4 linked regions of the Styela clava genome follow. The protein of the gene in region 3 binds, or shares a complex with, the protein of the main gene of each other region. Links are inferred from orthologs where the notes say so. Each region holds a gene or a part of one and is shown on either strand. Other genes may lie near its edges. The genes, in order: integrin alpha-V-like, scaffold protein ILK-like, basement membrane-specific heparan sulfate proteoglycan core protein-like and beta-parvin-like.

What was found.
Region 1: basement membrane-specific heparan sulfate proteoglycan core protein-like (region 3) and integrin alpha-V-like share a complex: the UniProt entries of both Caenorhabditis elegans proteins name them as parts of the integrin containing attachment complex. The link is inferred for Styela clava from reciprocal best matches to the Caenorhabditis elegans genes unc-52 and pat-2.
Region 2: basement membrane-specific heparan sulfate proteoglycan core protein-like (region 3) and scaffold protein ILK-like share a complex: the UniProt entries of both Caenorhabditis elegans proteins name them as parts of the integrin containing attachment complex. The link is inferred for Styela clava from reciprocal best matches to the Caenorhabditis elegans genes unc-52 and pat-4.
Region 4: basement membrane-specific heparan sulfate proteoglycan core protein-like (region 3) and beta-parvin-like share a complex: the UniProt entries of both Caenorhabditis elegans proteins name them as parts of the integrin containing attachment complex. The link is inferred for Styela clava from reciprocal best matches to the Caenorhabditis elegans genes unc-52 and pat-6.

What each region holds. Positions count from the first base shown.
Region 1 is NC_135263.1:3,185,853-3,193,679, forward strand, and holds the start of integrin alpha-V-like, read left to right. Parts: upstream 1-4,719; 5' UTR 4,720-4,813; coding exon 4,814-5,130; intron 5,131-7,827. UniProt on the Caenorhabditis elegans protein: Required for muscle development probably through the regulation of the actin-myosin cytoskeleton. Component of an integrin containing attachment complex, which is required for muscle maintenance.
Region 2 is NC_135261.1:8,305,257-8,313,137, reverse strand, and holds the start of scaffold protein ILK-like, read left to right. Parts: upstream 1-4,829; 5' UTR 4,830-6,874; coding exon 6,875-7,881. UniProt on the Caenorhabditis elegans protein: Probable pseudokinase that acts as an adapter protein. Component of an integrin containing attachment complex, which is required for muscle development and maintenance.
Region 3 is NC_135251.1:19,814,752-19,822,010, forward strand, and holds the start of basement membrane-specific heparan sulfate proteoglycan core protein-like, read left to right. Parts: upstream 1-4,225; 5' UTR 4,226-4,417; coding exon 4,418-4,492; intron 4,493-7,259. UniProt on the Caenorhabditis elegans protein: Component of an integrin containing attachment complex, which is required for muscle development and maintenance. Probable structural role in myofilament assembly and/or attachment of the myofilament lattice to the cell membrane.
Region 4 is NC_135255.1:14,758,048-14,765,843, reverse strand, and holds the start of beta-parvin-like, read left to right. Parts: upstream 1-4,729; 5' UTR 4,730-4,876; coding exon 4,877-4,973; intron 4,974-5,486; coding exon 5,487-5,641; intron 5,642-6,347; coding exon 6,348-6,476; intron 6,477-6,719; coding exon 6,720-6,837; intron 6,838-7,483; coding exon 7,484-7,584; intron 7,585-7,796. UniProt on the Caenorhabditis elegans protein: Involved in the regulation of cell adhesion and cytoskeleton organization. Component of an integrin containing attachment complex, which is required for muscle development and maintenance.

The sequences.
Region 1 (7,827 bases), on a different chromosome or scaffold from region 3:
CAGCTTTGAAAAGTTACGATTCCCTAACTTCTTCGCTTACGAATCGCATTGTGGAAAATAAGAAGTAATAACTACTAGTTTTCAAAATAGCCTCGAGGGATTCGGACTCTTTGCTTGTTGAAGTCTCATGTGTTTTGAATTTTTTTTACATTCGCGATACAATGGCGGCAAACGGAGTAGCTATAAGAGTTTGGTTGAAGGTTTTCGTATTGTGATATTTGGTGAAAACAAAGATGCTATTTTGGTATTGTGCCCCACTATAGTTAGACTAGGTTATCGCGCTGTCCTTCTCTCTTAATCTTAGTAGGCAATGAATTGAACGTAAGTCTTGTGTGTTTTGAAAATATTCTACATGCGCGCTACAATGGCGGCGAAAGGAGTATCTGTGAAATAATTTAGTAAAGGGTTTCCGTATGGCGATATTTAAGTAAAAATACAGGCGCTATTTTGGTATTGACCCGCCACATTCGTTAGGTTATCGCGCTATCATTTTCAAATCTCAGTAGAAGACAATTAATTGAACGTTTGTCTCATGTGTTTTGAAAATGCCTTACATATGCGCTGCAATGACAGCAAAGAGAGTTCAGATAAGGGTTTTCGTATTGCAATATTTACGTAAAAATACAAATTCTATTATGTTATTGTGCCCCACTAAGTTAGGCTAGTTTATCGCGCTATCATTTTCTCTTAATCTTGAGGCAATTAATTGTACGTATGTCTCGTGTGTTCATGCTACAATGGTGCTACAATCTGCGAGAATTTAGTAAAAGGTTATCGTATTGCGATAAAAATACAGATGTGTTTATATGTTGTGTTATTGCGCCCAGCACTCATAGAATAAGTTACGTTAGGTTATTGCCAAACTATTCTTATTGGACAAGAAGTGGACCTATCGTTTTCGTTCGTTATGTTGATTGTCGTTATTACTTATCGATCTTTAGATCGGTAAGTATGCTGATAGGTATTTGTCTGTTTGTCTGGTAGATGCACGCGATATCTCACGAAGGCGTGGTTGAATCTGCTCCAAATTTTGCATGTGCATTCACCAAATCTCGGACCAGAATTATTAAGTTATTAATTGATTAATAATTTTTTTTATAATTAGCGAGTTATTAATTAGTTTTCGATAAGTCTCCGACCGATATTCTCGTTTTTATCTCAGTAGGTAATGTTAGTAAAATAACGCGAGGCGTAATGTGGCGGCAAAATGTATATGTGAGAGTTTGGTAAAGGGTTTTGGTATTGTGATATTAAGAAAAAATACAGATGATATTCTCATTATTCTGCTATTGTGCCAACTAGTCGTAGTAAAGGCGAAAAAAAAAAGTTGTGGCAAAAAGTATGTGAAAGAGTAATATAAAGGGTTTTCGTATTTCAGGATTTCCAAAATATTTTGTATCCAAATCGTATTTCGGGATTTCCGCGGATATACACATGGGTTCAAATGTACGTGGGTTCAAATGTACGGTAACCCTTTTGTGGCAATATCGGGAATGGGAAGATTAAAATAATCAAATGCACAAAGCGCCGCATGTTTATTAAAGTGTAGAATACCAAACTGTTAGACGCTACTAATTTGTGGTAAGTTGTCAGTCGTATTGTATCATGAAGCCCGTACCAGGTAAAATAGCAAATTAGGATGAAGGAAGGTTCGAGTTAGGCACAATCGCATATTTCAGTGGTTCTTGAACTTTTTAAGCCGAGCCCCATTATCAGAATTCGTCAAGTTTCGCGTCTCATCTCAAAAAGTAGCTGACATAAGCTACACTAACAGATAGTAAGGCGAAAGTTTGTTTTATTCGGAAAACACGTTGAAAATGTGGATGTGGATCGAACGTTAATATCCAAAATAAAGAAATGTAAATATCCAAAATAAGGCGAGCAAGATCAAATTTAACAAATATTTTTATTTTTAATGAGCTTCACGCCCCTCAAAAAATTGCCTACGCCCCACCGTTTTGAGAACCACTGGCATATTCATTACAAATTGAATTGAAAATGGCTCAATGTCTACAAGACAGCTTTTCGTGTGGTTTGCAAAACATTACATATATTCATTAATTAGTTGGACTATTGTACAGGAAAGATTCAAATATTTTCTAAAGCACATTAGCCGCGCAGGTGTCAGTATCGTGTTTTACACGTTGGGGCGTTATCGTAAGAAAATATATTCCAACCACAAAAATATGTTAACTGGCTATCAAAGAAAGGTTATCTGTTTCGTCTACCCATAGGACGGGAAGTAAACAGTCGATGGGTAAATATTCAACATTCCAAATTGCCATAGTTAGCTATTTACACTTCTACGCGCTCAGCAGATGATAAACGACATGATTAATAAGGGCGTGATAAACAGCATGCGGTTCACAATAGCTATACCCGTAAATGTGATTGTAATTCCTTAAAATCAAATCTGGTGTCCAAATAGCACTCAAATATACTTCTATATGAGAGCAGGCCAATTATTTGGTGGCGGACACCGGAACGTAGTAATTATTTTAGTTCTTTTACGACTTCGGGGACTAGCAATATGACTCCCGTAGTATTTGTACCAGAAATTATGGCCTAACCCTAACCTGGTACGCTTACTAGGTTTCGGTGTCCGTCATCTTGGTTCACATATTTCGGTAGTACCAATTGATCGGCGATTCGGACCATATTTCCAACTTTATATTTCCAACCTCTCATCTACAATGAGCTTAAAAGCGTCCTTGGGGGAAACTATTTACATGACATTTAAGACCATATTATGTTCAACGCAAATTAAATATGTCTAGATAAGATAAAATCGACCAGATTTCGTGCCGTGGTCGAGTCAGAGTTTCGCTTCATTTCAATCTCAATGCACTTTGTAAAGCGTTCTAGTAACGCCGCGAACGTTGTGTGCACAGGCATAATGGCGGCATTTTTCTCGAGTTTTGCGCGTTGTGATGCGGCATTCGACCTGGCTTGCCCGCCCACGCAGTTCTTACTGCTGAACGTAATTTCAGATTTCTGCGAATTGAAGCGATAATACATTGCGATGCAGATTTTTACTACTATCAACGTTTACAATATTGTTGAATTAAAACAGATCTTTACATTTTGTTGGTCCTGTTTTCAGCTATATTTCAATGAGTTTGTAACAGCCTAAAATACTACATTTGTCTTAACGAAAGTTGGTCTAATTCAACGTTTCCCGACCGAATTAGAATGCTTTTGGGTAATATGAATAGTTTTTCTTTGTATTTGCATGTCTTGCTAATATTTCGTAATTATTTGGTATTCTTTATTGCATATTATATTCATACATTATGGCCTATTCAAAATGTACTAAAAAGTCAAGTTGCACATATCGCGAGCAATTGTTCCTGAAAGATTAAACAACCAAGGGAGGAATTTGAAACTTAAAAAGGCCAAGAGAGGAATGTGTCAAAGGGGGTTAGGAATGGCTGGTCTACTATATATTGTCAGAATGTTTCAGTCAAACTCCACCTGCACGGCAGAGGCAGGAAGTGGTGTTTAATAGCAAGTTTATGATTGAAATCATTATATCAAAACAAGGCGCATTTCCTCATTTATATACATCAGTTGACTGTTGATCTAGCCGGCAAATTGTGTTCAGTTAAGTTATAGTTGCAAGACATTTAAGTTATAGCTGTCCATTTAATACAGACAATTAGAGTCACCATAGGTCATTTGAAAAATATGGCCCAAGACAAACACAGGCAATAGATCTTTACCAACAAAACTTTCATTCTATGAGTTATTTCGTCCACACAGATGTACTTTATAAAATTCCCTCTACAATGTTTTGCCTCGTAGATGTTCTCAAGACATTGTTAACTTGATCAGTTTGAAATATTGTGACAACCTTTATCCACTGACAACTTTATTGAAAAATTAACCTATCTATATTTCCTAGCATACCAGTGGTTTCCTGCACCTCTTCAGTCAATACTATTTTTCGTTAGGAACAAGTTGGAGCAATCTTGCACGAATTAAACAAAACTAGGCGCATTTCCTCATTTATATACACCAGTTGACTTTTGATCTAACTGGCAAATGTGGTCAGTTATTGTTGCAAGACATTTAAGTTATAGTTGTTCATTTCAGTAGTGCATGAACCCTCCATTTGGTGCTATTTAATTTTCAAGTCAGGAACCACCAAACAAAATACCAGTTACGATAATACCAGTTACGATGTTTGCACAAGTTAGTAGTTTTCCATGTATTTATGCAGCGTTATGTGTAGTTAATCTGTTACAGATGGTTTTAGTCATATACTGCCATGCTTGGGATATATTCTGTTTTGTTAGTAATATATCCGTGCCATATATAAGCAATATTAAGTTGCCAGTCACATATGACTGCAAAGCATAAGTAAATAAAATTATGGATCAATGTAGCATTCTATCCCAGAAGGTGTTACTCATGTTTTTCAATAAATGAGAATATTATACATCTGTGGGCAAGTCTATTGCAGTCTCTCGACCTTGTGTGGTATAGGTATTTATGAGCAGAGGAGAATATATTATTAAAGTTCCTATTTGAAATTCTTTTAATCTATACATAACCATTCATTATTCAAGGAAGTAATGTCACCTCTTTTACTTTCCTTTTATGGTCATGGAATTGTGTTTCTGTGAGATTAGAATTTAAATGAGTTTCTGCATTTATAAATAGATATTATAAAGGAAATTCATGTCATTCTATTATCTGTTTATTGTCTACATTTAGCAGACACTGTATCCATAATTTAATTTTATCTGACCGTTAATAACCTTTGTCTTCCTTTGGTGCATTGTGACATCATACTGAAATCACAATTGGAATGGATATTCTGATGACAGAAGACCAGAAGCAGATGACAAAATGCCAACACAGAGACATGCCAGGGCATGGGCATTCCTCTACTGAATCAATTGAAAATAGACAAATTATGGTTTCAAAATCCATGCCACGGTTTTCAATAAGGACTTCAAATATATTATTGACTATTTTTACGCTTCATTGCCTTTTATTTATGACTCACAATTATGTGGAAGGATTTAATTTGGATGTTAAATTTCCTACTCTTGTTACGATACCGGAAAAGAAATCATATTTTGGATACACAGTAGGAATGTACTCAAGTGAAGGCGAATCTTGGTAAGTGAATATTTTAATAATATTTTGCTCAGAGCAAGGTCACGAACACTCACCCAGAAGTGAGGAAGATTCATCTCTCAGCAAAGTTATGGACAACTACTGAAATGCCCAGAGCTACAAGCACACACTCAGAGAAGTAATGAAGACTCATTTCTGAGGAAAGTCGCGGGTGATCAAGAAAGTTTCGAGAGAAATTGAAACTACAGTATATAGATTAATAGTAATACATTATGCCAGGGGTGTGCAAACTGTGGTTGCAGGCCACAAGAAAAAATAGTGCGGCCTGCGGAGAAGTGCCAATTTTAAATGATGTGCGGCCCTTGAAACGAGTTTTTAATTCAGTTCAATCTGGTGAGTGCGAGTAATTCCCAAGTTGCAAAGCCTATATCGGAACCAAATTTATTATCTATGCCTATGATGTCACAATGCCCTAACAGCTAGCTTGTGCGAAACGAACAACATATCATAATATCAACAACATATTTTTTGTGCCTGCAATTACTAGAGAGCCTATGTTAAATAAAGGTGTGGCCCAGTTATTTGTATGTGGCCCTCCAGTATTGAAGGTTGCACACCCCTGCATTACAGACTAGTAAATACTGATTGACACGAAACCTGAAGCAGTTCAATTCAATGGATGTTTCTCTGGTTAATTTTTTTTTTTATTTAGTACTATATAGGAAAAAATATTTCGGGGTCAAGGGTCGGGGAAACATCCATACCATCAGGAAAACAGCAAGAGATAGTAAATACTGCATATTGCAAATATTAGTGGTTTGGAAATCATGTGATTCCAATAGGAAATTAGGAATGTTCAAAGAAGTATAGGGTGTCTCAACTTTTTATAAAATTGCAAAGGGAAAGAAGAGCCGATATGCCGGCTCAATCATTTGGCGAACCACGGCCTCTCGTCCGGTTACCAGTCCATGTCGGGTATGGGATTAGTTAGCCAGGTATTTGTTTTCAGATGCATGGATTTGATGGTAGAGGAAGCCTCAACCGACCAGCAGTTATGTGAACCACCCATTAGTTATTGACATTACTTTGATCAAACTTATATGAATAATAAAAAAAGTTGTCTCATTATCTAGAAAGCTTGTGAGTGTTACATGTATCCAAATTTTCTTCTTCTCTCCCAAATTATCACATTGTCTCTGGAAAGCTTGTAGAGATATATGTCTCTAAATTTTCAGAATGAAAAGTTGAAGAAGAAACTTATATTTTGTCCAAGCTTGAATAGATTAATGTATAGCTGTTAAACATTACCCATCACATACTATGTGCTCTTCTAAAAATAATATCTCGGAACATGTTAAGGCACAGACAATACAGGACATACAACAGACATGAGTATGCTATTAGTTATTCCCCATAGACATTGATAACATCTGATCACATCTCACGGGAATTAATTAGACTAATTAGCTTTGTTTCTGCCTAATACAAGTTGGCAAGGCTAGACCACAACTTATTCAATGTAGTTTGTGGGTTATTCGGGTTGAAAGTTGATGTAATAGCCTGACATCTAGACTGACAGGAATGTCTATGATGGAAAAGATAATTATGCTACACTTTGTTTCATAATTTTCAATATTCTGAACCACCAACTTTGATCAATCAATTAATTTCATTTTGGTCACTCTGGCATAAAACTAAACAAGTAGGCCAACAAAATGCTGAAGACCTGGAGGACGGGCATAATATAGCAAGCAAAGTTTAACATACAAGTTTGGACCCATCCACCAAAAACAGTTGAAGAACATAATAAAATGAACATACATGATATATAATCAGGCAATAAATCTTAAATGCACAAAAATGAAAATACACTTCAGCAAACAGTGCGAATCGAACAATCCATGAGCTCGACTTCTTGTCCAGTAAAACACAAAACAAAGAGAACTATGGCAAACTGTGCGGGTTAAAACAAGCTTGTCTTAGATTTTGTACCTATGTCCAACATTGGGTTGCAAAATCATGGCAAGTATAGCCACAATTTTTTAAACGCATTTAATCAAAAATTGCATTTTGCTCATTGTAGAATCGTTTTATATACCGGTATGTATATCGTTATACCTGATTACATATGAGTTGAGCTTGAAAAAATATAATGTAAAAAATTGTGATAAATTATGAAAAGTTTATTTAATGTCAAAAAGTCCTAGTTTGCATTTTGTGCCAAAATACACACACACATGATTGCTTCACCATACCGATTATTGGTTATCAAATATTCATTAAAATAAAATAAATTTCGCCAGATATTGACTTTCTTTTACCAGGACCGTAATTCCACACTGTTTTATATCGATGTTTGAATAATTGTTGTAATGAATTAGGTAACCATCTATAAGCAGTCGATGATGATTATTTTTTTTCTCCTGACTTAAAAGGAGTGTTTTAATATTGTAAATATGTTTGCCTGTGCCTTGTCCTGATAAGAATCTGCTTTAGGGCTCGGTCAACCTTGCAGTCTTGCGCGCCCCTTTCGGATTATTACTTATCGATTTTAATCGGTAAGTATGTTGATAGGTATTTGTCTGCCTGTATGTCTGTTAGATGCACGCGATATCTTACGAAAGCGAGATTGATTCTAATCCAGATTTTGCATGTGCATTCATCTTATCTCGGACCAAAGTCTTTCCCTCTGTTCAGTATATATATAGATATTATAATATTAAAAGCATTAATTTTCTA
Region 2 (7,881 bases), on a different chromosome or scaffold from region 3:
TCACTATCAACAATTCAATGAATTATTACGCATTCCATATTGTATTACATATAAATGGCTATTGCAGAAGACACAATGTTTGAATACGATAATGCAATATTGAAAGAATAAAACGAGACAATAATATGAGTACAGTATCTACCTCTGATATAAGCAAAACAACGTTTCAATATCGATTGATCCTTCACTTCACATTTGGAAATAAAATATCGTAATACAGTTATAGGTAGTGATTTGGCAATACAGCGTTCGTGACATTTACGTGATGCTGCGCGAAAAATAGAACAAACGTGAAGCGACCAATTTAGATTAGAAACTGTGCTTTTCACTCTTAAGAAACTATCTACTTACATACTGTCTGTTTTTGCGTCAATTTCGAGGCCCAGAAATTTATTCAATATATAACTCTTTTTTTTTTTGAGATTTTTATCCGAAAATCATCAAGATAATTTATTTTACTGCGTGATTCGCAGCAAACATAACAGAATACCTAGAAAAAGGTCTTTCATGTGTGACTTTATCTTTCTTTTTATGACTTGTATTGTCATTTTTGTGTCGTGGCGCAGTTTGGAAATAAATTATCTATCTGTCTGGCCACAAAAGGTGCCCGTCACTGAAGTGAAAACGAAATTACTGGAGTTATTTCGACTGTTCACGAAATTCTGAGAACCATTCATCAAGATTGATATACAGGGTGTCCAAAAAGTTTTGCCCGATTTCATAGCATTACCAATTGCAAATTTGAATAATTTTTTTTGTATGACTAATTAGGACTACAACATTCAACATCTATAACATCCAATAAGAAACCGGTCGACTATAAATCTTTTTTAAAATAAAAAAATATATATTTGATAATAAAGACTTTACAATAATAAAGACTTTACAACAGGTGTGGCTCAACGGGCTAAGCGTTAGGAATACGCTCGCCACCGCACCTCTAATTACTCTGCGTGGGTTCGCAGGTTCGAATCCCACGCAGGGATGGTTATGTGCGAGAGGATTGCTGGACTCCTCGCTTCCTCCACCACCAAGTCCATGCTTCCGAAAACAAACAATACAGTAAAAACTAATCCCATACCCGACTTGGAATGGTAACCGGACGAGAGGCTGTTGTTCGCCATATGGATAAGCCGTCTTATCGGCTTTCCTCTCCCCCGGGATAAATATGTAAATCCTATCCTACAATCGGGCGAAACTTTTTGGACACCTGTATTATATCAAAAGCCAGAACCAAACATGTACGCTAAATATTTGATGCTAATATTTAAGTTCCAGATACATATTCCGGTCCATGCTCCGGATAATTGGGAGACGAGTCTTGGCTATTTTTTGTGGAAGTATATATAATTTTCGTTATAGTTTGTTTCAAGTTCGATTCTCATGGTTGAAACACGAAATCCAATCGTTTTGTTGTTATGTTATTGTTGTTCATCTTGTTAGTGTTTCTTCATGTTGCGCAAAAATCGCTTTTCCCATAAACTGCAGTAGCCATTGATTTGAAATTTTCGAGCCAATGTTTATAACCATACTAACAGGTCGATGCTGGAAAATATTCATTACTGTGTTCAATGACGTCATCAAATTAAAAATTGCGCACTTTGTGCCGGTTTTGGTGCTCTGGTCAAATCGTACATATAACCAAGGCGAAGTCGTGAAGGTTACGGCACCGATTGTTCACTGTGACAAATTGCATACCCTTATCACTTCATTTTGGTTTCCGTGGCCATGCATTTGAGCATTGCTTTTTTCAAAATATACAGGCTTCTTTCTTCGCATTGTTAGCACAGTAAAATAATATGTATCATTTGTTATGATGATTTTCATATTTATCTCGTGGATTGATCCTTTCGAACATAATCATCCATAGGCTATGGGTTTCAAACCCTTTTACCTACACAGGATAATCATCGGAGTGAATGACGTCGTATTCTTAAGCCCCAGCTCGATGCGTTATCTGTCAGTAATAGAGAGAGATACGGAGGCAGAATTTGTTGATTTGTCAAGTCACTTGTAGGCTATACCAGAACACAATACATAAGTATCATTTCTCTTTCAATAAATGAAACCTATTTAAAATTTAATTTAAATAAAGAAATAATAAGAATAATCGAACTTCTTTTTCTAATAGGAAAGTCTGGCATGATAACGTGAAAATATGATTCATAGCCACATTTAATTTCACATAATTGATGATCAATCAGTTTATTCATCTAAAACAAAATACCGCAGTAGATCAGGGGAAAAGTTCAGATAGCCTAGTCAGTCAGTAGTTTACCTTTTCCAACCAGTGAGGGGGGGAGTAGGGTTGGGACCCCGGGATTTGGACTGTTTTTTTTCAATCCCGATCCCGCATTTATTTCCTAAAAATCCCGGAATTTTAAGGCTTTGTTATCCACATATAGATATTCTCGCAAATGGTAGGTTATACCATTTTATTTAAATACTTATTTAAAAAAAAGCCATCCACGCTTACAGTTTGAGTGGAAGTGGAATTATTGTGCGAAATTTATTAGGAATTATTATTTGACTAGTAGAATTGTCATTATTGCCGACGTATTTAATCATAATTTGAACTCAAATTAGCATTCAGGATTCACGCATTGACTTTGCAGAGTTTTTATTCACTATTTAATACGAAAATAGGACAGCCACACAAAGTAAAATAAAAAAGGTCAACTATATCGTCTTTATGAATATCTGCATTCCGGCGTCAGAAATGATAGGGTTTTTAGCTTAAAATTGGGACAGGTAATTTATGAACGATGACAAGAAAGATCAAAGCCGACCCAAAATTTCAAAATCGGAATAAAATCCCGAATTCAACCACAATTCGTTAAAATGATTAGATTCGATGAAAATATACTATTGTGATTTTTGACCACCCTTGCGATCTGTAATCACGTCAGTAATCTGGCGAAACGCGTGGTAGTCCAAACACTGATGCAATGAAATTTAATAAAACCTTATATTTAGTAAACTGCATTACTTCACGAAAGCGTGGTGGAATCGACGATTATTCCATATCTCGAACACAAAACGGTTATCATTTTCGGAAAGTTTCGGCGGTCGGAAAGCTCGAAGCGTTTCGACATAGTAAATGCTATGATCTTTGCCAAATTATGCTCGGGCCTTGCACGAAATTCATAACGTGAAAAGATACGTCCAGCTGTGAAAATTGTTTATAACTACTTTAAACCTATTTAGTGTTTTTTATGGATAATAATTACGGTAATTGTTGTAATGAAATACAGTTTGTTTCCACTTTCATTTCTCTCGCAACCGCCGACAATAACACTATTGAATGATTTTGGCAATGGGAGAAACATATTGAATTGTAACAAAAATGAATTAAGTTGTTTGATAAAGTGAGAATTAATTAATGTGAGAATAATAAGGGCGTAAGCGTAACGTGGAAGTGCGAGTAAAACCGAAGCGCGTGATCAGCGTCGGTTTGAAGACCACGTATTACCCGTGCGGCCGCGCAACATTTACAATAATGAGAGGTGCTTCGAAGAAGCTCTCGTTTACAATGTAAAAAAAACAGTTCTAATATCGGTAACTATTAATCCATTTATTCGTGTTCGACTATCGCACTCTTTATGGGTAGAAAATAGTCGTGTTTTATGATAGGTGTGCTAATATAAACATAATACAATAACGAAAATATTCCACAGTAATTGATTATTGCTTTGTGCGGGTCGATGTGCAAGACCGATTAAAGTCATCTAGGCTCCCGACCCTTGTGTGTGTGCTATATATAAGTTCATCATAGGTGGATACAAATGAGATTAAATATAAATATATAAAAAATAAATACGAGGAGAAAGGAAACGAGTCGGCAATTTAATGGTATTATGGAAGTTACTAAGGGCAATTTAGGATTTAGAGAGGTCATGTGTTGGTTGAAGCCGGACATGTCCAATGGAAAAATTTTCACGAAAAGCATATTTTTTGTTATTGGACACAGACCGGGATCAAAAATGAATACCAAGGACGAAAAATAATATTATCACAGATTCAGTAATAGACCGAGTGCATGATGTAAAAAATATCATTACTTGTCGATCTTGTTTATCGATCTTTGTCTGTTTGTCTGTCTGTTAGATGCAAGCGATATCTCAAGAAAGCGGGGTTTAATCTCCACCCAATCCAATTTTGCTTGTGCGTTCATCATTTCAAGGACCAGATGGCTATTGATTTTGGTAGAGTTATGTCGTATAATTAGGGAGTTATTAATTAATTGGTGTTTGGACACACGGTGTCACTATAGAGTCATGAATCGAAACCACAGTTTTGATCGATAAGTCTTTGGTCTCCGACCGATACTCTCGTTTGACACCTTAATTAGTTCACGATATAAAAAGGTTATTGAATTAAAAGTGGCTACCAACATTCTTAAGTATTAATACATACTTTTGAAATAGAATAGTAGTTAATATATGACCCACAGTTGAATATGAACAATTAAATATGCAATTATTATTGCAGTTAATCACTTTTTCACAATATATAAAGGTTATTAAATTAATTAACAAATGGGCTACTATCATTTATAAGTATTTATGCATACTTGGAACTAGAATATTAATATATGATCCACAATTACATGAAATAAATACGTGATTTTATTGTCATGCAAGTTGTTTCAATCTTTTACTTAATCCAAAAAAATCCCGATACCGGGATTTAAAAAACTGGTTCCGGAATCCCAACCCTAGGTGGAAGTCGGCTTATGGCTTATGGGAATGAGAAATTCTATATCCATCCACTAAAAGGCAGTGCGGCGCCATTGCCAAATTTGGGTGTAACTGAGTTTCTACTTTGGGAATGCGCGTTTTTCGTTGAAAACTTGGTACCGGTAATAGACGTCTAGCCTATACCGGTACCTAATAGGAAATACTGAAAGATAGATATAACAAGCCATGATGTTATTTCAGGCTTGCATATTGTTATTCACCATTTCAGGTATTACAGTGCTGAAGTTCATATGGGGAAAATAACCACGAGCAGACAAGAAGTGGAGAACAGTCTACGGTACCGGTACGGTAACTGTTCACAGGTTTGGTACCATCGGCATAGTAGACTACCGTATTTAAATACGTGAAGCGGTACCGGTACATACGTTGTTGTATTTCATGCCTGTATTGGATATTTATTCCATACAACAGAAAAACCCGTTTAACTGCAAAATGGCCTGAGACGGGGTGGTCCAAATCCAGGCCCCCCCCCCCCCCCCCCCGGGCCACATGTGGCCCGCATCGCAATTCTGCATTTGTGCGAGAGTAAACGGAAAATCGCATTTGGTGTTGTTTCGTCTTTTCTGGCTTTTCATCTTTTTGGTCGGGAATATATGCTAACAAAATAGGCATCATAGAAAACTGAAAATCGAATGAGGAATCTATTAGCCCAGGTTATGGCTGAACAATACAATTCCCGCCAGTTTTTTTTGTAACCAACCTAAACAGTATTACTAAAAATGCTGCCTATATGTCAGAAAATTTAGTAGCCTACCCTCCTGTATCTCAAATTTGGTAAAATTTGGTAACCAATCAATCTGCAGTTACTTGTAAGTTATTTTGTAGCCTAAACATGAGTTTAAAAATAAAGCTGACCAATTCAAACATATTTTTGACTGGGTGTGGGAGGGAAAATACCACAATGCTTGCTTGATATGTCCGCAAGTTGTGTCGGTGACAATTTAATACGGCAGTTTTCCTTATGACACTTTCTGCGTTATGAAAAGTTTGAAATCTCCCACTAAATGTAGATATAGTAAGATTTTTGTGAGTTTTCTTGTGGTTTTTGCATGCTTTAGCCTAAAAAAATGTCAATTAATGAGCAATGTATTTGACAATAAATGTGTTTGTTTTGTATTGCACTGTTTACATGTTTTTAGCAATATTGTGGCCCGCGAGGTCGACAACCTTGGACCACCCTGGCCTAATTACTGACAGACTGGAGTCTACTGGCAGACTGGTATGAATTAAACATCACAGAATCAGTTTTATCTCTTAATTCTGTAATTTGTGTAAGACTGATTTTTTCACTTCTGTACTTGTTGGAAAAAACAAACTCAACTTGTTCTATTACAGTATTATAACAATATTCTTTTTGATGCTGAATGTGTGTTGGTATGGATTGGGTTCACAATCACATGGCCTCATTACAGCAATAATTTCAACTTTCTCTGCCTCTGAAGTTTTTATCCACTTATTTCTTCCTTTATCCCTACAATTCAGTAATTTAACTAAGTAACAGATTCTTATCATTGATGTTGTTTATATGAAAACTCTCTCTTGTTCTCATATCAAGCATTAGACACTGCGGTAGGCTATATCTGTACTGATGTATATAGCGATAACCCTTTTTCGAATTTTGAGGTCTACTTTATGTCTGTGTAATTATGAACAAAAAGATTGAAGATTAATTCAAATGCTGAATGTTTATAAGAATAATTCTAAGCTGGAATTCACAGCCCAGTAGTATTTGTCAGTGGGGTTATTTTGCTAACTCGTACTCTCCCAAATCACTGAACGTTGTGCGAATATCTGATATACAGGCAGATTGAAACTGCGTTAACTGAGTTGATTTTTGATTGTTTACTCATACAGTATCACCTGTTTATGCAGTGTTGTTATTCTCTTACTGTCTTGCCACAGTAATTTGCAATGTTTTCTCTGGATATGATGTTAATCCGTATAGCATATTGATAAGTCATTTTTACTAATTTCTCAGAATTTGTGATTGTGCTTTTCTTCCAAGCAACTTATTCCATCATGTAATTTCATCTTTTCATTAGAATGATATAACCTAATAAAAATTATCATTGAACTAATTGCAGCAAAAAAGTTTAATTTATTTCAAAACAAAAATGAATGATATATTTTCGGCATGTCGTGATGGTAACCTCATGGCAGTCAAAGTTTGGCTGGATAACACTGAAAATGATTTAAATCAAGGAGATGATCATTTATTTAGTCCATTGCATTGGGCATCCAGATATGGCCATAATACCATTGTAGAAATGCTATTGTCCAGAGGGGCAAGAGTAAATTCTGCAAACATGGGTGATGACACGCCCCTCCACAATGCTGCTCAAATGGGACGTCTTGATGTTATCCACAAACTTATTCGAGAAAAGGCTGAGGTGAATGCCTTGAATGAACATGGTAACACACCTTTACATTATGCCTGTTTTAACAACCACCCAGCTTCTGCAGATGAACTAGTGTCTTGTGGTGCTCTTGTGAGCATGTGTAACAAAAAGGGAGAAACACCGCTTGCTAGAGCCAGGCCAGAATTAGCTCGAAGACTAGCAGAGCTTGCTCGTTCAAAAGGCCAGGATTTGAAAACGAAAATTCCCTTTTCGGAGAATGTATGGAAAGGAACAACCCGCACAAGGGCTAAAAATGGAACTATGAACCATGAAAATGTCGATTTGCGACAATTAAATCTAAAAGGTAAAATTGCATCATCACATTCTGGAGAAACATGGAAAGGACGATGGGGACAGACAGAAATATTAGCAAAAATTCTTGCAGTCAAAAATATAACATCAAGAATATCAAGGGCTTTCCATGAAGAATATCTACGTTTACGAATTTTTTCGAATCCCAACGTTCTGCCAGTAATGGGGATTGTTAACAGCAAGAATCTGGCAACTATCAGCCCATATGCGAGTTATGGATCCCTGTACCATGTCTTACATGAATCAACAACAACAGTAGATCAATCGATTGCATTACGTTTTGCAATAGATATTGCGTCTGGAATGCAATTTTTACATTCACTTGAACCAATGATTGACCGCTTGTTGATCAACAGCAAACATATCATGATAGATGAAGGAATGACATGCAAAGTGAACATGGGTGATGC
Region 3 (7,259 bases):
GATCAAAGAAAAACTACTGTATTTTTTAGGATAGGGGTAAATTTGTAATCATCTATATATATTAAGTATGTTGAGTGCAGACCTTCCGATTACAGTATTTCCGTTCCCAATATTGCCATAAAGCAGCAAGCGTAGCTAGATTGTTCGTATTTGTGTTGTGAGAAAGAACTCGGCATCTTTAGTAATCCAATGAATCATTTTCGGGTTACAAAATATATATTTCTATTAGTTTGATTTCGTAAGATTTATAATTTGTAGTTGTGCATCACAATTTAGTGTCGAAGGCCTAGTTAAAGTCTTCTGTTTGGAAAACCTAAAATATTGATGATTGACTCAGCTGGAGTACTAACTGGCAAATATTCATGTTTGTATTTCATGTACGCTCAGTATCATACACATGCAAAGATAAAAAATAAACTCCGATCGCGTGAGAATGCAAATAAGTCACGATAACACGATCCAGTAGCGAAAGATCCCGCTGTGATATCATTTCGAACGATACTACTTCTGACATAGGTTCGTGTACAACCGTGGTTTTCAAAGTGCGTCGTTACAATTTTGCTCGGCGGTCGTAAAACTTTCTTCTCTTGCGGAATTATACCTGTTTTGCGGTGCGTAGCAAAAGTCTAATTATAAAATTGCACTGCAGAAATAAATGTACAAGCGTAAAAATGATACTGCACGAGAAAAGTCGAGAATTTTCGCAAGTATGATGGAAGCTACTTGTACTTAGTATCGTTGAAGTTCCGAGTAAAAAGGCTCCTTCGTTTTTGTTAGGTAACATGGTTTCACTGGCCAAATCCTTGCTACAAACAACACATTCCGGCTTTTCGTTGCCATTTTGTTAAACGGAATCGATATAAAAAATAATTATATTTCCTAAAATTTACCGAGTTTTTGGAATTTTTTGGATAAAGATTATCTTTCCTTGGTTGCGTACTCTCACCCCTTCTTCGTATTTATGTGAAACAAGCTTTTCTACCATGGCGTAATAAAGAAAAAATATCGATTTTGAGTAAATTTTGGAAAAATGTGTGCAGCTGTCACAATTCACCCCAAGGTTCAATAACATATAACAATTGTAAAAAGACGCAAGTACATGCACATTAAATGAGATTTTACTGACTTTCGTCAAGTTTTTCTTGTCCGTTTAAATCAGGGGTGGTCAACCTTTCACATACCATGCGCCACGTTTTAAACATAATGTTTCAGATGCGCCGTAAATCTCTTCATTCTCTTGTATTCCCACGCCTAATGTCCACTTCTTGTTGAAATTATATTAATTTATAATACACATACATATATACACACATATATGTAGTTTTTACAACTTCACATGAATAGAAATTAAGCAAGGAAGTATAATAAAACGCAAACGCAAAAATTCGAGCAATTTACGATAAACAGATTACGATTGATTACGAAACAAGGAACCATTGTGACGCCATGCTTCAAGTAAAAACTACAGCCTTTTTGAAAGTAGGAGAAAAACGCATTCTGTCTTATGAGCATTACGCAATAAATCTGTTTTTAACGACGAAGAGAAAAAGATACGATTAAGAAGCTTTTTGGCCTAGCGTCGCGTGATTTTACTCCAGGCTTCTTCGAGATTAGTACTTGCGTCACAGCAAGCGATTTTACGCTTCGCTTTTGTTGACAACGGTCATTTGAAGTTTGGATGAAAAAGGTGGTATTTAGGGGTCATTTTCAGCATGTTGTGGGTTGATTTATAATAAATTTTTTTGGCTTGGGCAATTCAACTGGTTGTTCAATGGTTATTGGGAGATATTTGGGGAGTCTGGGCAATGGAAAATCTATGTTTCAAGCTGATAAATGACGATTTTCTATTTTTCCAGAAGTTCTGAACTTTTTACTTCAGTAGGGAAAAAATAGTAAATTTTACTAACTTTTGCTGAAAGTCTAGAATGAATGTCATAAAGTCCGTCCAAAAGCTAACGTCGATAATCGCCTGTTGTTTCTAATTCCAACAAGCCGTAAGTGGGCGGCGTGGAGTAAGGAGAATAGATTTTAGGTACAATCAAAAGTCACCATGTAAATCGCAAAAAACGGCTTGGCGTGGAGAAGCCAAGTGCAATTAACAATTTTGGCATGAAAAGGGTTAAAGATGCAATGCGCCACCTCTAATCATGCAATGCGCCACGTTTGGCGCATGCGCCATAGGTTGGCCACCCCTGGTTTAAATGAAACTCATTGCAAAAAAGTTCTTTTATTGAAAGGTCATATGACGTTTTCATGGGGAGTCGCAACATAAGTATATTTTTCGGAGGGCGTCACAGTACAAAGAAGTTTGGGAACCACTGGTGTACAATATTGAAGTTGAAATAATTAAACATTTTCGATTTTATTTTTTATCCTCAGAGCTTCAATACGACAGCCTAACGTCAGCCAAATGTCATAGAAAGACCCGCTTGTTAGCCATATCATCTTATACACACAAGGTTTTATATATGATGGTAAACTATGATGATTCATTTAGAGCAAAGATACACTTACATTCGAGACAACTGAGCATAAAATAGGCGAGCAAGATATGATGGGATACTGCGATGATTAATTTCGGTTTCAAAGTTCAGATTCAGATACATTTGAGACGAACTTTTACACAAATAATTGCATTAGACTCTACAACAATTGTTATAACTAAAGCAGTAATACAAGCGATTGTCCTAACTATATTTCGTTTTAGGTCACTTTACGCTTCCTTATAGATCTGCTTCAAGTATATATATATATATATATATATATATACTGAAACTTTCCATTCATTTTTACCGACAATTGGCTGCCTCAATCGTACATCAGTGCCAAATTATGTGGATTTTCTATCAAACTCGATGTACTGATTAAGCTAGCAAAAATACCAAGTGTCATGGTTTGTAAAATCTCGTTTTTGGTTAATTTCATGAAAATTATTGCATTCGAATAATGTGGTGAATGAATATAGCTTATCGCCTGAAAAGAATCAATTATTTGTATTTTGATCTGCGTGGAGAATTGGTAACTACCTCTGATATTTACCAGCTAATTTAAGAATAATCAGTCTTGAACTATCTTTGTCCAGATGTGGGTAAAGACTCTACGAATGGACATTTTTTTTTAAAAATAATTAACGAAGCAATTTTGACAGTTATCACATTCAAATATTTTCAAATTTTGTTTGAAAACTCTTACTTATTTGTGGTTCATCCCGGAAAAGTATAGAATTTCTCATAAATTCTTCTTTAAATAACAGTAGTATAATCGCAATATACTAGATATTTCAAGGTCGGACGAAATGGGATTTATATTGACCCAGTACACGCCGTCGCCCATCAGGGAGCTAAATCTCAGCCTATTCATAAGACGGCGGCGACGGAGTTGCGGAACGGAAACGTACCGTCTGATCTGTTACCGGCGGACGATAAAGTACGTTCTCATCGGACGTTTACATTGCAAATATAAACGACGGGGCAAACGCGACTAAATAAACCAGGTTAACGTAGCCGCGCCTCGAAGAAGAAAAAACGGCGACGCGACGAAGAAAATGCTTGGCACCGTATATTTGGTCACACTTCGTGAGTTGTCGTCGACGGTGGCAGTTTACGACATTGTTAAAGCAGGATTAGTACGTTGTTGACCTCTATTGTATAAAGCTAGTAATACGGTCGCCAACATGGTGCTTTTGTGGCAATTCTCGAAGCCAGTTCAGTAGAAATGTAGCTCTTGTGCAACACGACAGACTAAATTCGTAGAGTATGAGTCAGCGCTCCAAAATAGCCTTCGCTATTATCTCATCAGCTGTAACTTTAGCATAGTCGACCAAGTTGCAAAGTACAATTCCCGTTGTAACGCCGTACAAAAATATTCTTCTTCCAAGCTATTCATTTCACTACAAATAAGCTAGAGTTCTGCTTTAGTGAATTTTCAGTTGGGATAGGTTTCGTAGTTTGAGGCTAAAAGTAGCGTAGTGTTTTATAAATCCATCGGCACTAATTCCCAGACATTTTCCGAAATTAATTGGCGAGTTCCTCAACGGTTAAGGCTTAATTAAGATCGCTTAACGATGTTATCTTTAATTTGATTTACACAGTCCTGTGTTGGTTACATCGCAGCAAGCACACTACCATAAATCCCGGCGAATGGAAGATAATTCTCCGGGCGTTCTCGGGAGTAAAACACGATATAAACGCTAGTCGAAGACTCAATTTTGTCAGCTTGAATTTTATATTATATATTTAGTTTTAAATAACCAGATAACGTAATTAAGTTAGGAGTATCGCCAAGAGGGACTCAAAATATAAAGTTCGCTTGTATGTTTTGTGATTAAGAGAAATCTGCTTACGATAGACCTTTTTATAATCAACAATAAGGATATAAGAGAAATCTAAGAAGCAATTACCAAGAGGATTTATCCGAAATGGATATGTTATGGCTTGGCGTTTTTGCCACATTGGCAATTGCCACATGCCTCGCCACACAAGACTTGAATTTGGTGAGTAGACTGTTCTGAGTAATTTAATTTAATCGGCTGCAATCTCTATTACAAAAGACTGGACTTTGACTTCCCATATAAGAACCCTTTCAACACATTTGGATTCAGGTTCCTAAATTGCATTTGCGATAACAAATGTTAGCCGATTTCAAGTGCCTTTGGATCTCGTACTCTATGGGCAATGGCCTCTGATGTATTGTGTCTATAAAGGATTACAAATCAAATCATGTTGGATTTCAGCTTTACCTATGTGTCCGTTCATTGAACAGTGCAACCAAGAATTTCTTCGCTCGTATGTTTTATTTTTAAACTTTGACGATTTCTAGCATTACGTATATAAACAAACAAATGATATAACAACATACATGACATGACCCTGGACATAAAGTCTTCAGTCTCGGACGACGACCTTGTTTAATGTGTGTATATGATCAAAGCTGTTGTTCAAACAGTTATAAAATGTAACCTATGATCGGTCACGGGGTTATATTTTGTGCGAGTGACCGACCACCCGAACTTTGTGCGGGATTGAGATTCGTGTTTCGGTAACGCTTGAAGTCTTAAGTAAAAAACAAACGTCATGTAAATATTTGGCTCTTGTGTTTTATGATTTTTTCTATTTTTGAACGCCTATCTGCATCAAAGTTGTATCAAAATAGTCACATATGTTGAAATATGATTGGTATTTTTTAATTTAATTTATACGGTTTGTCTTGTAAAAGAGCCATCTATTCTATTGTCGGTGGATTCTTTAAAATTTTCAATCTTAGTTTCTAAATCATTAGCGATTGCAGTAATAAATTCCAGGAGGTAAATGCAATTTTCACAACAAATGGACGTAATGGCATTTTCTCACGGTTTTAGATTCGTGGAAGGAGTTTTCTTTCAGGAGTATATCTTTGACTTCCCTGTCGATACGGCAAATAATTTCGATTATATACTTCAAACCCGACTCCCGCTTCGCATAACACAAATACGGTGACAATTTGATGATTGAAATAGAAAATGTTAGAATTTCATTTCTATAGTCTTGCTCTAGCATATGTAACAATGCAAACCGACCAGGACATGAACCGGAACTGCCGAACAAAAAATAATTTGATCGGCCACCCACTAACTCACACTTGGCAAATGAAAACCATCACACAGGGTATACTGAAATCATTCTGTAACGTTCTCCATAAATGTGAAAATCAGCTTGCGCTTTCGATTGGATTTACAAAAAATGATCACCGACAGTATGGCACCATTGGGTGTGTTGGGAAATAGGATTCAGTTATGTTTTGATTTGAACAAAATCGTTATTTAGATCTCTTTTCGTGATTACGCTCCGTTCTATTCAAATATTTCATAGTTTGTCTACTTGGTTTCATGCGTCGTTATGGATGGCGCAAGGTAATTTAAATTGACCAACTATGAAATTAATTATCCACTGTTAGTTTCAGATATTTTGTATCTACGTAATGCAAAATATGGAATTGCAATATAAAAATACAATATTGCATGATGCAGTTAGTGATAATTATAATGCCATCTCACAACGCCTCTGGTTTTAAATCACCATCAGCAACTGTATTTGCGCGTTTAAATGCCGGGTCCTGTGGGATTTTATATGTAGGTCATTGAAGAGCTGAAGCAGAAGCATGCTATTATTGTATGATATATAATCTAGTACTTTTCCTTTCTAGGCTCTAATTTTGATTATTTTTATTGATCTGCTTATGTACAAAGAATGTGCGAAACCAATGTGGTTTACTTACAATATAAAATAACCATGTCACATTTCGTGCGAATATTCCCGCAAAATTGCGCTTTCAAATTGTTCATTACAGCCATTAAAACGATGAGTCTAAATTGGAAACGGTATCAATGTAGGATGCTAGGAACGCTTGCACTACCGGATATATTTGACCACACAAGTCGACAAAAGACATTTTTCGAATGATCAGTTCGTGTATGCCTCTTCCATTCACAGCTCACTTTGGGCGTATTTCACGAAGCAGAAATTCTTTAATTAGCCTGCATGAGTTCACAGTTTAAAATATACTAACTTTTTGAACCCATCTTGCTGTAACTAATAGGCTTATATCCCTTATCAACATGCTTATCTGAGTCTAATCCATGCAACGTTGCGCATAGGAATGCTTACATTTACATCTTGCAACTCTGTCGATTTATTGATGCAAACCATCCGCTACTTTTATATTCAATAAAATTTTATATATTTATTCATTTAATCATGATTCTTGAATCAGATTTTGTAATACACCGTAATACAGAAACACAAGAGGTTGCATTTTCTGCTGCATATGTTAATAAATAAAAATGAAAAACTCTTTTTCAAGTACCAATAAATACAGGTGAAATTTTATTTTATTAAAAAAAGTTGATTGCAATGCCAACGCGTTACCAACAGAACACTAAGTTTTGCTTCGAAATATTGCTTAAAATTAGTGATTCATTCGTTCTAATATAATTATGTATTGAGAACATTTGTTGAACAATTATCACCAGCTTCCACTCGCTGCTGATAAGAGTCTCAGCAGAGCAATGACCATCCCCAAATTCAAAAAACTCCGAAACAAAATATCATGCAGTACTCCACAAAAGATAACTAAAATACGAGCATTCGATGTAGATATATAAAATACATGATGAAATGAGTACATTCATTATAATTAAACATGATAAAGATTAAAGAATCAAAACTTTTTGTCAGAAACTCAATATTTGGCTTGCAGGTTTGCATGTTTATTTTGGAGGTTCG
Region 4 (7,796 bases), on a different chromosome or scaffold from region 3:
ATTGCGCAATAGTTTGCTTGCTATTTCGTTATATAGCAACCCGTATTAGGTCATTCAGTAATCTATAAGTAAACTGTTATTGACAAAATTGATCTATTATATAGTTTTGAACTTGATCAATTTTGCTGCAGTACCATAATTAATATTATAGTTTAATGTGTCAAATTGTCTCATTACACATTCAAGCGAAAAATACATATAGAGAGTGATCGATGTAAATATTGAAACGAATAAAACTCACAAAATTCTATTCATTATATTGATGTAAAACGAAAAACGTAATTACTTTGTGCCTTTCATGAAATAAGCTTGAGTTTCAATGTCAATTTAATGTGTTCAGATAATGAAGGAAGATCAGGCAGGTGAGAAATGTTCAAATGTAGCAAACAACTATATAATCGATACTTTTCTTAGGTTCCGTAAAAAAGTGAACTATAGTGGTGGCAAATGATAATGATTTCAGCAATATATTGCCATGTAAAACTAATATGGTATTTAAGAACCGAATGTACCTAAACTGCTTTCTTTCGACAGAGTATTTATTTGGAACTCTATACTCCCTAAAACGTGATAGAACAAGTAAATTATGCTTTTGAATGGAGAGAAGTTTGAATGGAGAGAGTAAGACAAGGGGCACTTATGGTTAAAATGACAGAAAATTTCATTTTTTGTGATTTGTTGTTGCAAAGTTTTCATGAATCGGGATCTTATATTAGTTATTTTTAAAAAATCGCAATATGTAGTGGACTATGTTAATTATTGTATAAAATTGGCATTCATTTATCTATCGACTTTTTTTTATATATAGACAAATTAACTCATACAATCAAAGCAATTGATCCGCATTTCTGAGAAAACTTGGATTGTTGTAATGTGTCTTAATTCGTGATCAAAATAAATCCGAAACGGGACGAATTTAATGGATATATAATTTCCCCGTTCTATTTCTATGGCGCCTTAGAAGGTGATAACGAAAGATGGAAATATAAAGTACCGTGGATAGATATTGCCCTTGTTCTTACTACAAGTCGTTCATTCTTTTTAGTGTACCATTATCGACATTGTACTCTAACGACAGCAATATAAGATGATTATTATTTTATGATATTTTCAAACATATTTTCATCCCAATATTTTAGTTAGATTAAAATTTCAAATGTGAATTTTCTCAAGCACGTTGAAGTTTTTTGATCAATTATTTGTTAATCGATTTTGCTAAATTTATCGACTTTCAGACTTCACATAAATTCACAAAGACTGATAAAACTCTATCCCAGAATAAAATATTGATCACGTATTTTAAGTGCATAAAATGCACGTTTTGGGAATATATTGTAGTTTTGTGACGTTGATTGCACAGACGTCGGCGTATGAGAACACAATACATATAACAATATTCACACGAAGATCTGTTTAAGTATGGATGTTGTCGACACATAAACTTACATCATAGCATTCTTATAATATATTTAGCCCAATGGTGTGTATAGGTATTTTCGAATTGCGAATACTTTTTAGATTAGGCAGGATCAATAGCTATCACCACATTGTCAGAGTATGAACGAGAAATACACAGGATATGTAAAACTAACAAACATAGGGAGAAAAATAGTTTTATGGCTAAGAAAGCGAGTACTTAGAATATTGTTTGTATTAGATTTAAACTAAAAAGTCAAGCGAGCATTCTATTCCACATGTACGGCGAAAGCCTTTGTAGAAAGGGATTTGTCAATGATTCCACGATTTTTTTTATTGAAACTCTTCAGTGATTTTTCATTGATTTCGGTGCTTTTTCAAACAAATGAATTTCTTTTAAACGTCAGGATTGGTTTGGTTGAGTTTATGAAGTGAAAGAGGAATTTTTGTAAATGAATAAGAATATATTCCGAACCTAATTTATATTTTGTGACAATCGTTCCATTGGAACTTGACTAGTAAACAAGCATTACTTATTGAAATGAATGTTCTTTGAATTATTCATTGCAGATTAAATCCGTTGATAATTAATTTTTAGTAGCTTATTTATATCAAATTTTGTGTCAATTAGCTAGTTTTGTTCAATACAACTTCTAGACGTGTTTTTTGTGATACCGTATTGAAGAAAGCTAAAGAAAAGATATTCACAATGGCGCACATGGCTTGGTCGAATTGGGAAAATAAAGATGAATGTAAGTATTTTTATCGATTATTTGTCATGTTTATTCCTAGGCCTATCAATTCAACACACTCATTTCTTTTACTTTCAATGGTTATGGCATTACCACAAATATTTGTGACATGGTACAGCAGACTTAAGTGAGTTTGAAGTGGACCATTGAAATGCTTTGCTAACCTGTAGTTGTTCGTGCTCATGTTCGAGAAAACTACTGAACCAATGGTTTTCTAGTTTTCTTGAACATGAATGGTTTTGACAAATAACCGGCCTCTAGAGATCATGTCAAAGACCCATCAGACCACAAGATTCGCCACTTCAACTAAAGCAAAAGTGCCGTGGAATGATTTGGGAGATTTTAGCCATCCACAATGATGAATTGCTGGACGATGTGCACTGTTATAAAATACAAGATGACAAAAATCAGGTTAAAATAAAAAATGAAATAAAAGTTATCCATGGCGATATGAGAGTCCTGTACACGGACCGGATTGTACCGGCTTCAAAATAGCTGGAGGATGAGAAAAAGAGAAAACACTGCAAATCATATAGGCTATGGTGCTCCTCTGCCTCGCGTCGAGTTATCAGTCAAGATCTAATGAATTTTGGCAATCAAAAGCAAGCTCACTGTTTACGGGTGGGCAAGGTTTTTGAACCCAGGGCCATAAAATTTGCCCATCCACATTGGCGGGCCATGTAAGTGTGACGTAAAAGTTACATTATATGAACAATATTCACAGTGTTACAAGAGCAGACGTGGAAAGCAATAGGCCTCGTGCCGAAACTAAATTGAATCGCAAATTTACCAAATTCCTAGTTATTTTTAGCTGAAACATCAAAATTTGGTTTTAGTTTAGGTATGGCAGCATTAGGCAGTCCAGATTGAATTACTCAACTGGCCGGATTTGGCCCGCGGGCCGTAGTTTGTTCATGCCAGTTAAACCAACAAACCTCAAACGACAAACTGTCGATGTCCTCTCAATCAGTTCGGCGGAATTGAATATTTATCCTGCCTGTTGATTCTACAAATCGAAGGTCGGATCGTACGTTCATCGCTATTGGTTTTCCATTTTGAAGACGTCTGAAGGGTCGGTCTGTGTGTGAGTTATCCTTACGCATATTTGAATGGGCCCCCAATGCTGCAATGCATGAACATTTCTGGCGGATAGCGCGATAAACTACCCTATCCGCCAGACTAGGGTTAGTTCGGATACCTATAATTTTTACTATCCGGATAACGGATATATCCGGGTATTCCATATTTTAACTATCCGGTTGACCGGATAGTTACTGCTAATTTTAAAGATCCGATTTCGCAAGATTTTTACGGCGAATTGATCAAAAACCACCACACAGTTCTATTGTTAATAGCTCAAATTTGCAAGATCGCAAAAATACGAATAAAAACTGATATTATTTGTGCAGCTTACTACGTATTTTCATATATGCAGAATGCGGTGGCATTTTATAGTAGAAGTGCTTTAATTTCAACGTATGTCGACGCAATCGAGAGATACGTTGAACAGAGTTATTATGGAAAGACATTTTAAAATGCTCGAATCAGCCACAAATTGGTTATTTTGCGCAATAGAAAAATTTAAGAAGTTGAAAACATGCACATTACATGCATTCGTAAACCAAAAATTTAGAAATGCTACACAGATCACATAGATTACGAAGTATTGGGAATTAAGTCATGGCTTGTTCCAGCATGAAATGCGTTCCTTCAATACACGCAATAAACTAAAAGCCACACCTGACCAAAAAGCCACAAACCCACACCCACACATTCAATGCTTTTCAACCTAATTGGTGGCTAAATATGGGCAGAGTAGTGTGAATAGAAGGTGTTATTATATGCTCTGGAGTCTGGGAGATGTCAAGACGCCACTCAACAAAAAATATAAAAATTACTAATGCGCATATACATTATTTATATTCCTCTATTATCCGGTTAACCGTCACAATATTATCCGGATATCAGATAGTAAAATACCTCTCGGTTAATCGGTTATCCGGATAACCGCTATCCGGATAATCCAACTCTACGCCAGACATCGGTAGAATGAGACAACCGATTGGATACCGGTACCGGTACTTATTTGTAAGAATATTTGGTTTCGGTGATTAGACTTATACAAATTTGTTTTGGTGGGAGGCAGCACCGGTGGGTGTGCCAGTGACGTCATAGGTATTGCCGCCGTATACGGCTCATTCTTAATTCAGTAATTGCGTTTTCAGGATAATATGTGCGTTTGGCTTCCCCGACAGATCATTTAGATTTTTGAGGTACCGGGACGTTGAACTATATTATATTAATAACAAATAGACTAGAGTGTTCAGTTTTTCAAATGATAATCTAACATGGAATTCGCACAAAAATCCATTGTGCCGTTGTAGCATACGGTAACTGAACTGAACACAGTTCCGCAGTTTGAACTGCTGAGGTACGGTACCGGTACCGTACGGTATCCGCGAACATTCAACAGTTTCTGTCAATGTCAGAATGTGGCAGAAAGGAGATGTTGTTAATTCTGAAACAGCGGTAGCAGCATATACCAGTATACATATATCTGGATATAGTGAAATTATTGTACCTCATTATTTCAATATTTGAATGAATTAATTGATAACAATTGATGAACACATCACCAAACTCTGAAACTTATGAATTCAGTTGAATTAGAAGCATTGTAATTTGAAATTAAACAACGGATATACAAAATGTCATACCAGAAATCTCCCGCAAGAAGGGAACCGGAAAAATCTGAAGGATTTTTTTCATTAACACTTGGACGCAAGAAAAAGCAACGAGATTCTGGTATATTCAGATATTGGATGGAACTTTATCATACATTGGCAATTCTTTGTCAGATCATATAAAGATTGGTGTTGCCGCTCCCCTTTTCTATTGTAGATTTCTAGGTTCTTTGTTATCGAATCAAATATAAATTAATTTTTGTTAAATTATAAAGACCTGTGTTGCTATTTCTATTTCAAATTTTCAATGTACTAATGCCACAAATTACCCAATTACAGAATAGTGTCACCAAGTAATTGGTTGATTTGTAGTTGATATTGAATCAAATATAAAGCCACAAATTGTAATTTTTATGTGGCCATATTTTGATCATACAAATCTTATTATCAACTGTCATCAAAAGTATATTTTTAATCATAACTTTGTCAACTTGGCCTTTGGCGAGTAAAAACATTGTTATAATTGTGGTATCTTAAATTACTTTTGTTAAAATCGTTAGAATTTTTACTCCTTCCTTTTTTCGAAACTATTTTAATGTGAGTGTGTACTCTAACTTTTGATTTTCTCTTGCAGTAAATGCATTGGACATAGAAGCTCGAGATGCAATTGATGGAGGTACAGTCACACAAGAGATTGATCCTTCGAGTTTCCATTTAGAAGAAGGAGAAGAGAGATCTATGATCGATCAAAAATCAAGAGAAGCTAAAGATGTTGTGGATCTTGAGCGGGTGTGAATTGAATTTCATTAGAGTTGTACAGGGTGACCTAAAAACAGAACACATAAATTTCTTAATAAATACTTTAAAAAAATTATTTAATTTTGTTTAATTTAGTCCTAATAGTATGTGCGTGTGATTGACAACTCTGGATTCGTTACATTACTCACTCACTTTATGTGTGAATATTAAAAAAACTACATAATATATCATTATTCTTATTTAATTTTTTGTTTAATATACTACTGTTAATATATTGATTATAATGGTTGATGAAAACCCTGTCAAAGGACATTACCTAATTATTAATCTTGACAGCTCATGTTTGCTAATAGGTAAATTATATAGATAAAAAAAATTTCAGTAGGTCTAGTCTGGTAGTATTTCCGGCTGTTTCATCTGTTTGAACAAACCCTATTCCATCTGTTCTCCTCCAAGGGGGCCACAACGCAGTCAGAGAAGGCCACAATGCTAGACGCAAAACTCATTTTACTTTTCACTTTACAAGAAAACCTCGCGTTCTTCCTAGTTTCATTGCTCGATAAGGTTATTTCGCAGAGTGTTTTCACTTTGCTGAGTATAAATTGTTTGAACATATTGGGATTTGAAATCTACCAATCAAGATAACACTATAAATATCACTGATTTAATAAACAGGAAAGCCATGAGCCATAAAAGGTTGGAAACCACTGCCTTACTCTGATTGCTTCTGTTTTAGGTTCTCATGGAATGGATTGATGATGTTCTTGTCGAACAAAGAATTATTGTTAAAAATATACAAGAAGATTTGTTTGATGGACAAGTTTTGCAGAAACTTTTAGAAAAACTTGGTGATGTCAAGTTACAGGTTGGCTTGACTTTTTTCTATTATCGTTCTATTTCTTTACTCCTGCCAAACCTATCTCAATCTTGCTCATATTGAGTGTAAAAATTACTCACTGTTTTAATGAGATAGCTAGTCAATTACAACGGGGAGTTTTTCTGTAATATAATTTTTAATACCTTTCCAAGATAAATTCAAATTTAGACATGACATTGTTTCTGTATACCTATACAACAAAAATATGATATTGTACTACGAAACATTTAGGTTCCGGAAGTTACGCAAACAGCTCAAGGACAAAAAGATAAACTCAGGGCAGTTCTAGATAAAGTCAGTCAACAACTACAAATACAAAGCTGGAATGAAACTAAATGGAGTGTTGATAGTAAGTATTTTACAATGTAATTTTTTTTAGGACACACACAAGCATAATCCAAGAAAATAAAATTTAAATTTTAGCTCGCATTTTTGTTAATTATAATTATCAAGACTGCTTTCTGAAAATGATTATGATCGGAACATTCTGTGTCATCAGTTTTTTTTGACTTATCTCAATAGGATAGGATTTTCATATTTTAAAGGGAAAGAGTGAAGCCTATAAGACAGCTTAATTATATTGTTAATTATGACATCTCATCCAGTTACTAGCCCACTACACACTTGATTATCTTGTAAGGATTCAAAACCACACCATGCCATTTCCATGACTATAGACAAGCTCTTTCGAGACATATTTTACCTAAAATTTTTTGGTACTCCCGAAGTATGTGTGCCAGGTTGAGGTTGGGCCATAATTTTATTTCGATTTTCCTTATTTTAGTGCTATTACGAGTTCGAGGAATGTCTGTGTTAGCCGAGTAAATATCCCCCTGCCCATAGGTTTCAGTCCCTTCACATAACTTGATGTAAAATAGGCGAACAAAATTGGTGACCTCCATATTGGCATACATACTTCTCGAGCGCCAATTTTTTTAATTCAGTGTTTTTCTGAAATCATTACTGCTGTGTTTATGACTTTTCACCTTTTTCAGGTATCCATTCAAAGAATCTTATTGCAATACTTCATTTACTAGTAGCACTTGCTGCCCATTATAAAGCACCGATACGATTGCCAGAAGATGTTCATATTAAAGTATGTTGTTTTTATATGCTGCTTATGTATCATTATTCTATTATTATTTGTGTATTTGGCTGTGATATATTTTAATTCTAGCTTGATAAATCAAGTCCTTAATTGTAAATTATGCAATTCCAACTTCTGCAGATAAATACCCTTTCATGTGATCATTACTTACATTTATCAAATCTTATTTTTATCCCATAATCATTTTTGAAATAAGGAAT